Caenorhabditis elegans: one gene and its partner. The protein of the gene in region 1 purifies or fractionates together with the protein of each later gene. This does not show direct contact. Each region holds a gene or a part of one and is shown on either strand. Other genes may lie near its edges.

Region 1 (5,598 bases):
TCTTCTGTTCTTAGTGTAATTTTGAGATTTCTTGGGGTCAAAAAATTCCGGCATCAACATGTTTGTGGTGAAAAAGGGATACGTCTCAAGGTACAAATTTCATTGATATTGGTGGAACAAATGTGCGATCTAAAATCATCAGAAACTTTTCTTGAGCTACTCCAGGAACAACGACAGTTGACACATTATCATCCCCTGAATCGTTTAAATAGAGTTCACCGTATTGAAAGTTTTCAGTCTAACTTTTTTCCTTTTTTAATCAACTTTTAATATAATTTTTGTTTCAGAAAATGATAGGATTCCTCAAACTTGCCATTATTGGCACTGTGTTTTTGGGTGTTGTTCATCAAGCAGTTTCTACGGCAGCACAAGACGCCGGCTGTACTGATGAAGAATCACTTAGGACACATTCTTGTGACCTGGTGAGTTGTTTTTTTTGTTTTCACGCAACTCGATGATATCGTATTAAATGTGAATAGCGCCAGTGTGGATATTGCTTTAACACATGCCTATGGTACCATAAAGACCAAATATCAAAAAAAAAGTTTTCCTGCCAACATTTTTAAGAGAAATTTAAATTCCCGCAAAAGTTGGTCTCGCCACGATGGGTCTTACCACGATGGGTCTCGCCACGATGGGTTTCGCCACGATTGGTCTCGCCACGGCCATATCCCCCTACTACTACAGTACCCCGACTATATCCTCCAACTTTTTTTCTCCAGAAGGTTCTGGAACATTCCAGAATTTTCTCAAATTTTCCAGAAGGTTCAGGAACATTACAGAATTTTCCAGAAATTCCCAGAAGGTTCTGGAACATTTCATAATTTTTCCGAAGTTTCCAACATCCCTTCAAAAGACGAAAAGTAAATTTTTGCCAAACTACAGTAATCCTACAGTACTCCTACAGTACCTCTACAGTACCCCGACAATTTCCGTTTTAAAGCAATTTCCTCACTGGCGCTACTCACCTTTAATTTCAAATATTTGAATTTAGGTTCTGGCCGATTTCCTCGAAAATCCTGGCAACCTCGACGTGAAGAACAAAAAGAGGTTAAAGGAATACAAGGATGATTGCCATAACGTACTCAGTTGCTACAACAAAATCAAATGTTTGGGAACAAATGGGGAAAAAATTCCAGCGGTTAAGTATATTGGAAAGCATTGCAGAGCTACGGATTACGTACACGATGATTTTGCCAAGTGTAGTGACAAATTGAATGCAAAGAAATCAACATGTTTCGATGACTGGGACCCAATTCCAAACAACGTCACTACTGAAAAAGTCCCAAAAAAATTTGACCAGTTGATGAGTGAGTCTTGTAAAACATGTTTTGGAAAAGACAACTGCATGATGAAGGAAATTAAAGAAACATGTGGCCAACAAGAGTGGGACTTATTCCGTGTGGTAAAAAGCTTCTAGATAATTTCTCTAAAAAACTTTCATTTTCAGCATTTCATAATTATCGCTGGTGGATTTTTCGACAAGTGTGACTTCAGCAGGCTGGATTAAATTTTATGTGTTGTTAAATGACTCCTACAAAATTAATCAAAAGTGGCAAAACCTTATCAAAACTTTTTTTTCAAATATAATTTTACGATTCGCGTTGTTTGTGAGACTTTGAAAGCTCTTGCAAAAAATCAGAAGTTTAGGAGAAACATCACAGAAACAGTTTCCTGTGTTGATTACAGAGTGTTTAAAGCCGCAAAAATATTTGGGGTGGCCTATTCTGAGAAATCACTTTCAAATCACACAATTCTCGTTTTGAAGTCCAAGGCTTTAAGAACTTACTGTCCATGTCAGTAGTATAAAAAAGAATTTTCAAGTTTGTCCATCTTATGTCGCTACGTTCTGAAAAAGTGGCAGTTACCCTATTTTTGAAGTTTGGTCTTTTTTCGATGAATTTATAAGATTTTTCAATAAAAAAGGCTCTTCTTCTTGTTTCATCAGCAATTGGTCAGGATCTATGTGAATTAGAAATATTTTTAACATTGGGGCAGAGTTTTGAAGAACAAGGTCGCTCCAACATGTGGCGTACAAATGAACACATGCCTTTTCACATTTTGCTCCTAATACTAACTGAGAATGAACTTCCTGTTGGTACTGACACTAATTGTGATTATAAGTGTGCAGAGTAGACAGGAGGTAAGTTTTTTTCTAAACTAAAGTACTGAAATTGTAGAGTTTTTCGGTATTTTCAAATTAAATTTATTGTATTTCGAATATGACTGACTTAATAAAAAAACCAAGTATATTAATATTTGACTAGTTTGATCAATTTCCTGAAGTCGAAATTTGACAAAATTTTCGGAGGTTTGTGATTGTTGGTATTTGTTTTGTTGAAAATTTCAAAAATTTAACTTGGAACCTGAATATAAATTTTTCCGAACAGAATGTATTTTCTCTAACGTTTTCTCTAGTCAAATAATGATTGTTGTGTTCGTTTCAAGAATGTTCCAGATCGGTGCTAGCTTTTTTTTTAATCAAAAAATAGTTTTCAGAATGTTAGTCTGGATCCTTGCAACGACTTCTACGATTATGTGTGCTCAAATGACACCAGAAGCATCACTGAGCTTAACTTCACAAGTTTATTCGAGGATCGAGAGATACTGGTAGTAGGCTCCCTGTCATGCATCCAATATTACGCAGTAATGGTTTCAGAATCCGAACATTTCATTTCCGAATAACGGGACCTACATCACATTTGATCAGATTCTTAGCCCGTATAGCTTGATGATGTGGTATATGGTGGTCAAATCAATGGATACGCCCACTGTTGGTTCTGAATTTTTTGATGAGGCGACACGCGAATATGCTACAAAGAAGAACAATTCGGAGAAATTCAGTTTCGCGTTGGAAAACCTGGAAAACCTTAATCTAACGGTAAGAAAACTCTGGAAATTTTTGGAATATTCCAAATTTAGAATTTTAATTTTGTTTAAGGTTCACGGAAAAAAGGTTTGCTATTCCTAGTTCCAAGAAAGCAAGTGTATTGGATTTTCTTTTTATTTTTAAGAGAAATTATATAATTTTTGGAGGGAATTTAGTTTTATAATAACAATTTCAATACTATTTTCACATGCTAATTTTATAATTTTTTTCTATTCCAGTTGACAAATGTTTTCTACAATTCTCTCTACGCCAATATCGAGGTCCTCAATCAGCTTAATCTTCCAGCCTCCGAAGAAAACGAATATCTTCATCATATTTTCGATCTAATGAAAAATAATACTATCGAGGAGATTTGGAGCAGTTCTTTATCAAATAAAAGTAAAAAAGAATTTGAGAAAGAACTGAACAAGTCAAAAGTAATTTTTGGACTATTGGATTATAATAATGTGACAATGCTAGAGGAAACTAAACTCATTTACGAGACGGAATATTATCGACTCAAAAGTTTATTGTCGTCAAAGTAAGTAGAATATTGAATACTAACCTTTAAAATTAGTTTTCAGTGATCTTGACACAGAAATTGCGGAGAAAATCATCCGTTTGGGAGCCACTGATACCGCGACAAAAAACTTGGGGAAACGAATTCCGGGCTATACACCGCAGTTTTTGTTCTCCGCTTTTGCGTCGAATATGGCAAACGAGGCGTTTAATCAAAATTCAAATATTTATTGTGGAATTGTCACTCGAAGTGATTTACAAGAACCCATTTTAACGGTGAGAAAATATTGACCATTAATTTCCTAAAAACAAAATGCCGAGGCTATCTTACACTTTTCCAGATAGCCGACACCATTTTTGTACTCGCCCATGAGCTCATGCACTTTGTCTATCCATTCGGAATACGGTTACTGCCTTCTAATGTTACAAAAGCAGCAAACAAGTGTACACAAGATGAAGTCAAGATGATGGGTGACTCTGATGCCGTGGTGAGCTAGCAAATTTCTACTTTTGCTTTACATACTTCCCTGTACTTTTCAAAAGTGACGATTTCAGAAGCCAATAGATGGATGGTTCAGTGAAAACATCACTCACGAAGATCTTCCAAATTTATTGGGATTAAGGATGGTTATGAAGATGGTCGCAAGGAAATCGGCGAATGAAGAGCAGGTAGGAAATATTTCAGCAAAATTAAAGTACGCGAATTTCGGAACGCCTACATTTTAGATAAATTGGATAGGCCGGCGCGGCTCCAAAAGTTGCCGGGTGCTGGAATTTTCGGCAACCTGCAACCAAGTTTTTTTTATTCTACAGAAACCTTGGAGTTACCAATAAAATCAAGAAAATTAAAAGGCTCCAAGGTACTTGTAACGAGCACAAAAGTTGAACAATTATGCAAGTTAAAAAATTATTGCTTCCGTGAGTCAAGTCGCCGCCAAAAATTACATATTTCAGCTGAAAAATGCGCTTGAAACAATTTTGAGCGGATTATGCATCCAAGGCAAACCAAAAAACTCAATTCTACCAAATCATCATCCCTTTGAAATATCCATCAACACAGCCGTTCGCCAATATCCATTGTTCAGTTCACTCTATGGATGTCGCCTTGGTGATCGAATGTTTGCTGAACCGGTACGGAATTTAAGATGAAAAAAGGAAAATACGGTATAGGTATCTATTTTTTTAGGAAAAGTTTTGCAATCCACTGGGAGGCGACGTGAACTTGGAGGACTATAAAATCAAGAATGATACTGAAGATGTCGGTGGATTCTTCAATTATATAATGGATACTGCAAATGCGTTTAATTTTTCTTTTACGAATTGATTTTTGCCACAACCATTCAATATGTGCTTGATGTTTTCCCACAGTTTCGTGGGTTTATTTATAACCGTTTTTATGCTTTTCCATCAAATTTTAATGATATTAGTTTTTATGTTTGTTCTTCAAAATACACTTAATCAAAAAAAACCACAATTCAAAGCACTGAACGGGATAGTAATGTATACTTGTTTGAAGATCAACAGCCTGAACTTCATGATTCATTTTTCTCAGTTTGTTTGAGTTAGAATAAAGAGAAAAATCAGAATAAAGAGAAAGTCAATAATTTGGAAACTGTATGTGGAAGCTGATTTTATCTGGGTCTACAAAAAATCTACACTTTTGTTTATTAATAAGGCAAGTGTTTATTAATAAGGCAAGTGTTGAAATATGGAGATTTAAATTGACGGTGTAGTTTCGTTGGTGCGTGATCCAATAGGTCCTGTAAAGTGAAAGTTGTGACGATGTGCATAAAGTAAAATACTTGGGAGTTTACTGTAGTTGCAAAAATGTGATTTTTATTTTCAACAATTTGTAATTTTTAAACATTCAAAGATGTCATACCCCAGCGCTCTAGGAGCTTCACAAAAGCTCCTAGAGGGCTTGTTATCAAAATTCGACATTTTTCCCAACTCACTTTGAATAACTGAAACTGAGAAAGTGCCCACATTGTGTACTATCAACGGATTGGTTGCGGTCTTGGTAATATTAATCTAAAATTTTTAATTTGTTTAATTGATTGTTTAATTGAAATGATTTGTTGGAGAAACTGAACCACCACTCACTTTACTTTTTTACATACTTTTTAACATGCGTACCGTGTTTGTGTTCATTATTTTTTCCAACAACTCCGGATACTCCAAAAACAATTGGCGATGCTACGAACAGGATT
Region 2 (3,783 bases), on another chromosome or scaffold:
CAATAGTTTTACCAATTTTATTTTGAAGTTAACTCGATTAACGATTGGAAATCAGGAATCTAGAAACTTCTACCACCCACTTTCGGGAGATCACTTCAGAAAGTTCAGAGGAGATTGGTTGGAAATTGGGCAAAATCGTCTCAGAAGTTCAGATATATCTACCTTCCTAAAAGTATGTTTCTGTGGAATTTGATTAATCACTCCATTTATTCGAATTTCAGAATTGGAAATTGGGCTCCATTTCTTGGATTGAAATGTACAACATTGTCATTAGTTTTCCAATTCCCGAATTATTGATTTTACTGAAAAATGAGAGTTGCCAGAAAACACCAACGACGTGGAAAGTGTCTCGGGATCTAGACGAAGGAAAAGAGGAACTTGAAATTGGATTCTTCAAAAGTACAAACTTCTCGAAACAGCCATCATTGGTTATAAGGCAATTGAAAATTTTAGAATATTTGTGGTGAATTTTGGTATCTTGTTTTGGAATAAGTTTTCATGATAAACAATGTGTATAAAAAAAGTGATCGAAGGCGATTATGATTTCTTTTTTTTTTCTTGCCTCCAACATAACCGCAGCAAGATATGTTCGGAATTTTTTAATGGAATTTTTTATAAGACTTCTTTCTATGATTTGCATCCAAAAAATATGAATTTTGAGCTTCTTCGTCACTTTTGGTATTTCACTGAGCATCAACTCAGAGCGTTGGCGTGTGATACGGAGCCTTTAAAACACATTATCCTTACAACAAATGATCTCTCACTTCCGATATTTGTGTTTTTTAATGGCAAACAAACACATATATTGATAAAGATATTTATTTTCTGAAATGAAATGGAATACATGGTAAAATAATTCTAGTTTAATTTGCATATAACATTATTTATTTTATGGTGAGCGATCACTTTGGGAACGCCTTGGTGTGGACTCCAGTAGCAATCATTGCATTGTCCCTTTTACGATAGAGTTCTGCCTGAAATAAAACACTTTTGTAATCAGAAATATTCAAGAATAAAAAAATATGATACCTTAGTGAATCCAAGAGAGCGCCCCTGTTTGATGACAGTAGAGTTGAGTACAAGAGTTTCTCCGATGTTTGCAGCTGTCAAGTATCTGGAAGTTACGATGATCATAAATATTTTCTCCTGAATTTCTGGCATTATTAGTTTACGAAAATGAACGATTATAAAGCTAAAATATAGGTATGGGGGTACTAGAATGAGCGAAACTTTTCAGTTACCGTACTCGTGAGTACGGTAGATTTCTCTTTTTTGTTGGTTTTGCAATAAATCTGTAGTTTTAAATTAAAGGTTGGAATGGAAAAATTAGAAAACATTAGAAAAAGTTCGTTGGTACCGTAGCTGAGAACATTTCGGTCGTGGTGGGACCCCACACTGAATTTTGGCTTAAATATTGCACTTGTTCGCAAGACTTATATGTTTCAAATCATTGCATAATCTAGGAAACCTCTATTTAGATATAGATACTCACGTAATATGCAAATCCACTGAAACACCAGGCCTCGCTTCCTTTGTGAGTAGAAGAGCACCAGTTGTGAAACAATCGATAAGTGCTGCTGTACATCCACCATGAAGTGTCTCGAATTGATTTGTCTGATCCTTTTCAACTTCGAATTCCACTCGTAGATTTCCTTCCTCCGCATGAACTGCTCTCACATTCCGTGCTCCAGCCGCATAACCGAATTGTCCTTTTGTCCCGAACATTTTGATCACTTCCTTCGCAATTTGCATGTATTTTGATGCCATTTTCAAGCAATCTTAGAAAAAATATATGATTTAAAAATATTTGTTTCAAAACAAAAATCTCATAACCACGTAGACTTGCGTGGATTCTCTTACCATCAAAACATGTACAGAGTACTCGGATTAAAACGAGTATTTATGGAAAATTGGAAAAAAAACAAGAATTCTTTACAATTTTATTGCGGAATAATAGTTTTGTACACAAGGGAAATGTTTTTCAAAACGATCAAATTAGAAATTGTGTCTAGGAATTATGTTTAGGAGGTATTCCAGACACGAAATTTTGCGATTTTTGGGCAGAAATCACGGTAGCCGGTCTCGACACGAAAACTTTTTTTATAACGGGAAAAGGTGTGTGCGCCATTAAAGTTTACTGGAAATTCCAACTCTTGATTTTTTTTCGCGATTTTCTGAAAAAAAAAAGTTTTAATTGATGTATGGGAGTTTTAAAATAAATTAATAAATGTTTTTTTTATCGAAAATTGATGGGAAATTGTTGAAAAATCAATGAAATTTCAACAACAACGAGAGTCTAAAATTACAGTACTCATCAAAGAAGCACACCTTTTTTCATTTAACCAAAACATTTTGTGTCGAGACCGGATACCGTATTTTTGGCGCACGGATCGCAAATTTCCATGTCTTGGAATATATTGATTAGTTTGCTTTCTTCACAGTTGGGAATGCTTTGGTATGTACTCCAGTTGCAATCATTACATTATCACTTTTACGGTAGAGTTCTGCCTGGAAAAAAATAATATTTTTAAAACTTTTCTTAAAGTTTACCTTTGTGAATGCAAGAGTTTTTCCTTGTTTGATGACGGTGGAGTCGAGCACAAGGGTCTCACCAATTTTAGCGGCGGTCAGGTATCTAAAAATCTATCAAATTCGACAATTTTCTTCTCTCTTTACGTACGTAACATGCAAATCAACAGATACTCCTGGCCTAGCTGGTTTTGTGAGAAGAAGAGCCCCAGTAGTGAAAATATCAATGAGCGTAGATGTACATCCACCGTGAAGAGTGTTAAAATGGTTTGACTGATCTTTCTCAACTTCAAATTCCACTCGTAGATTTCCTTCCTCCGCATGAACTGCTCTCACATTTCCTGCTCCGGAAACACATCCGAATTGACCCTTGGTTCCATAATTTTTGATGATTTCCTTCGCCAATTGCATGTATTTTGAAGGCATTTTGATTTAATCTGAAAATGGATTAACATCTTAAAAATTTAGAACAATTTATCCCCCAGACGCGAAATCTTGGGTCCAAAATGCGGCACCAGGTCTCGACACTTACAGTACTCTTTAAAGGCACACCCTCGTTTTTATCTCACAAAAAAAGCGTGGCGAGACCTAATACCTTTTTTTTCTGCCCGAAAATCGAAAATGTTCGCGTATGTGTAATATTTAAATTGGCACTGATAATTCACCAAGCGGATATGTTCAAAACGATAAGAGAAAGTTCTTCATGAATCTTTATGGAACCGAAAATACGAATACAACCCATACTTAGAAACACACGGGTATTTAATAAATAAAGAAAGACCGAATTTCAAAACAAAAAAATTAAGGTGTGAGGGAATACATTGAACAGATTTAATACTATTTGAATTTGCAAATTTCTCCAAATTTTCTTATTTCTTCTTTTTCACCGCCAACTCGGTTCCTTTCATAAATTTCTTGTCGATTCCATACGATTTTATCAGAAGATCAGCGATAAAATGAATTTGATTTCCTTGAACGAGTACTTGAGGACCTTCGACGCCAGGAACTTCCCATTGACTTGTAACACTAGTAGCCACACCAGTCTGAAAATTCAGAAATTAGTATTTAAGGATTAGCCACCAACTACCTGAATTTGATGGCAAATCGTTCGAATGTCAATTCCAAACATCGCTAATCCATTTAAAAGAGTAACTTTTTTGTTTCCAGCACGGTTTTCGATCTTGAATTCAACTCTCGGTGGAGATACTTTTCTGACTATTTCTCTGCCGTCAGGCCATCTTATGTGCCATGTTG

Evidence for each region.
Region 2: the proteins of T28A11.17 (region 1) and C25H3.14 fractionate together in Caenorhabditis elegans (co-fractionation; one large-scale study listed by BioGRID). This does not show direct contact.

What each region holds. Positions count from the first base shown.
Region 1 is NC_003283.11:3,262,740-3,268,337, reverse strand, and holds T28A11.17 (Peptidase_M13 domain-containing protein), read left to right. Parts: upstream 1-2,048; 5' UTR 2,049-2,083; coding exon 2,084-2,143; intron 2,144-2,499; coding exon 2,500-2,610; intron 2,611-2,659; coding exon 2,660-2,881; intron 2,882-3,108; coding exon 3,109-3,410; intron 3,411-3,453; coding exon 3,454-3,664; intron 3,665-3,729; coding exon 3,730-3,876; intron 3,877-3,943; coding exon 3,944-4,057; intron 4,058-4,342; coding exon 4,343-4,519; intron 4,520-4,574; coding exon 4,575-4,712; 3' UTR 4,713-4,856; downstream 4,857-5,598. Other genes in the region: T28A11.18 (T20D4.11-like domain-containing protein), read left to right, coding at 291-422, 995-1,405, 1,451-1,510.
Region 2 is NC_003280.10:5,693,378-5,697,160, reverse strand, and holds C25H3.14 (Acyl-coenzyme A thioesterase 13), read right to left. Parts: upstream 1,779-3,783; 5' UTR 1,768-1,778; coding exon 1,493-1,767; intron 1,115-1,492; coding exon 1,030-1,114; intron 975-1,029; coding exon 903-974; 3' UTR 803-902; downstream 1-802. Other genes in the region: C25H3.10 (F-box domain-containing protein), read left to right, coding at 29-172, 222-467; C25H3.3 (Acyl-coenzyme A thioesterase 13), read right to left, coding at 2,422-2,508, 2,551-2,635, 2,681-2,955; eif-2D (SUI1 domain-containing protein), read right to left, coding at 3,399-3,572, 3,617-3,783.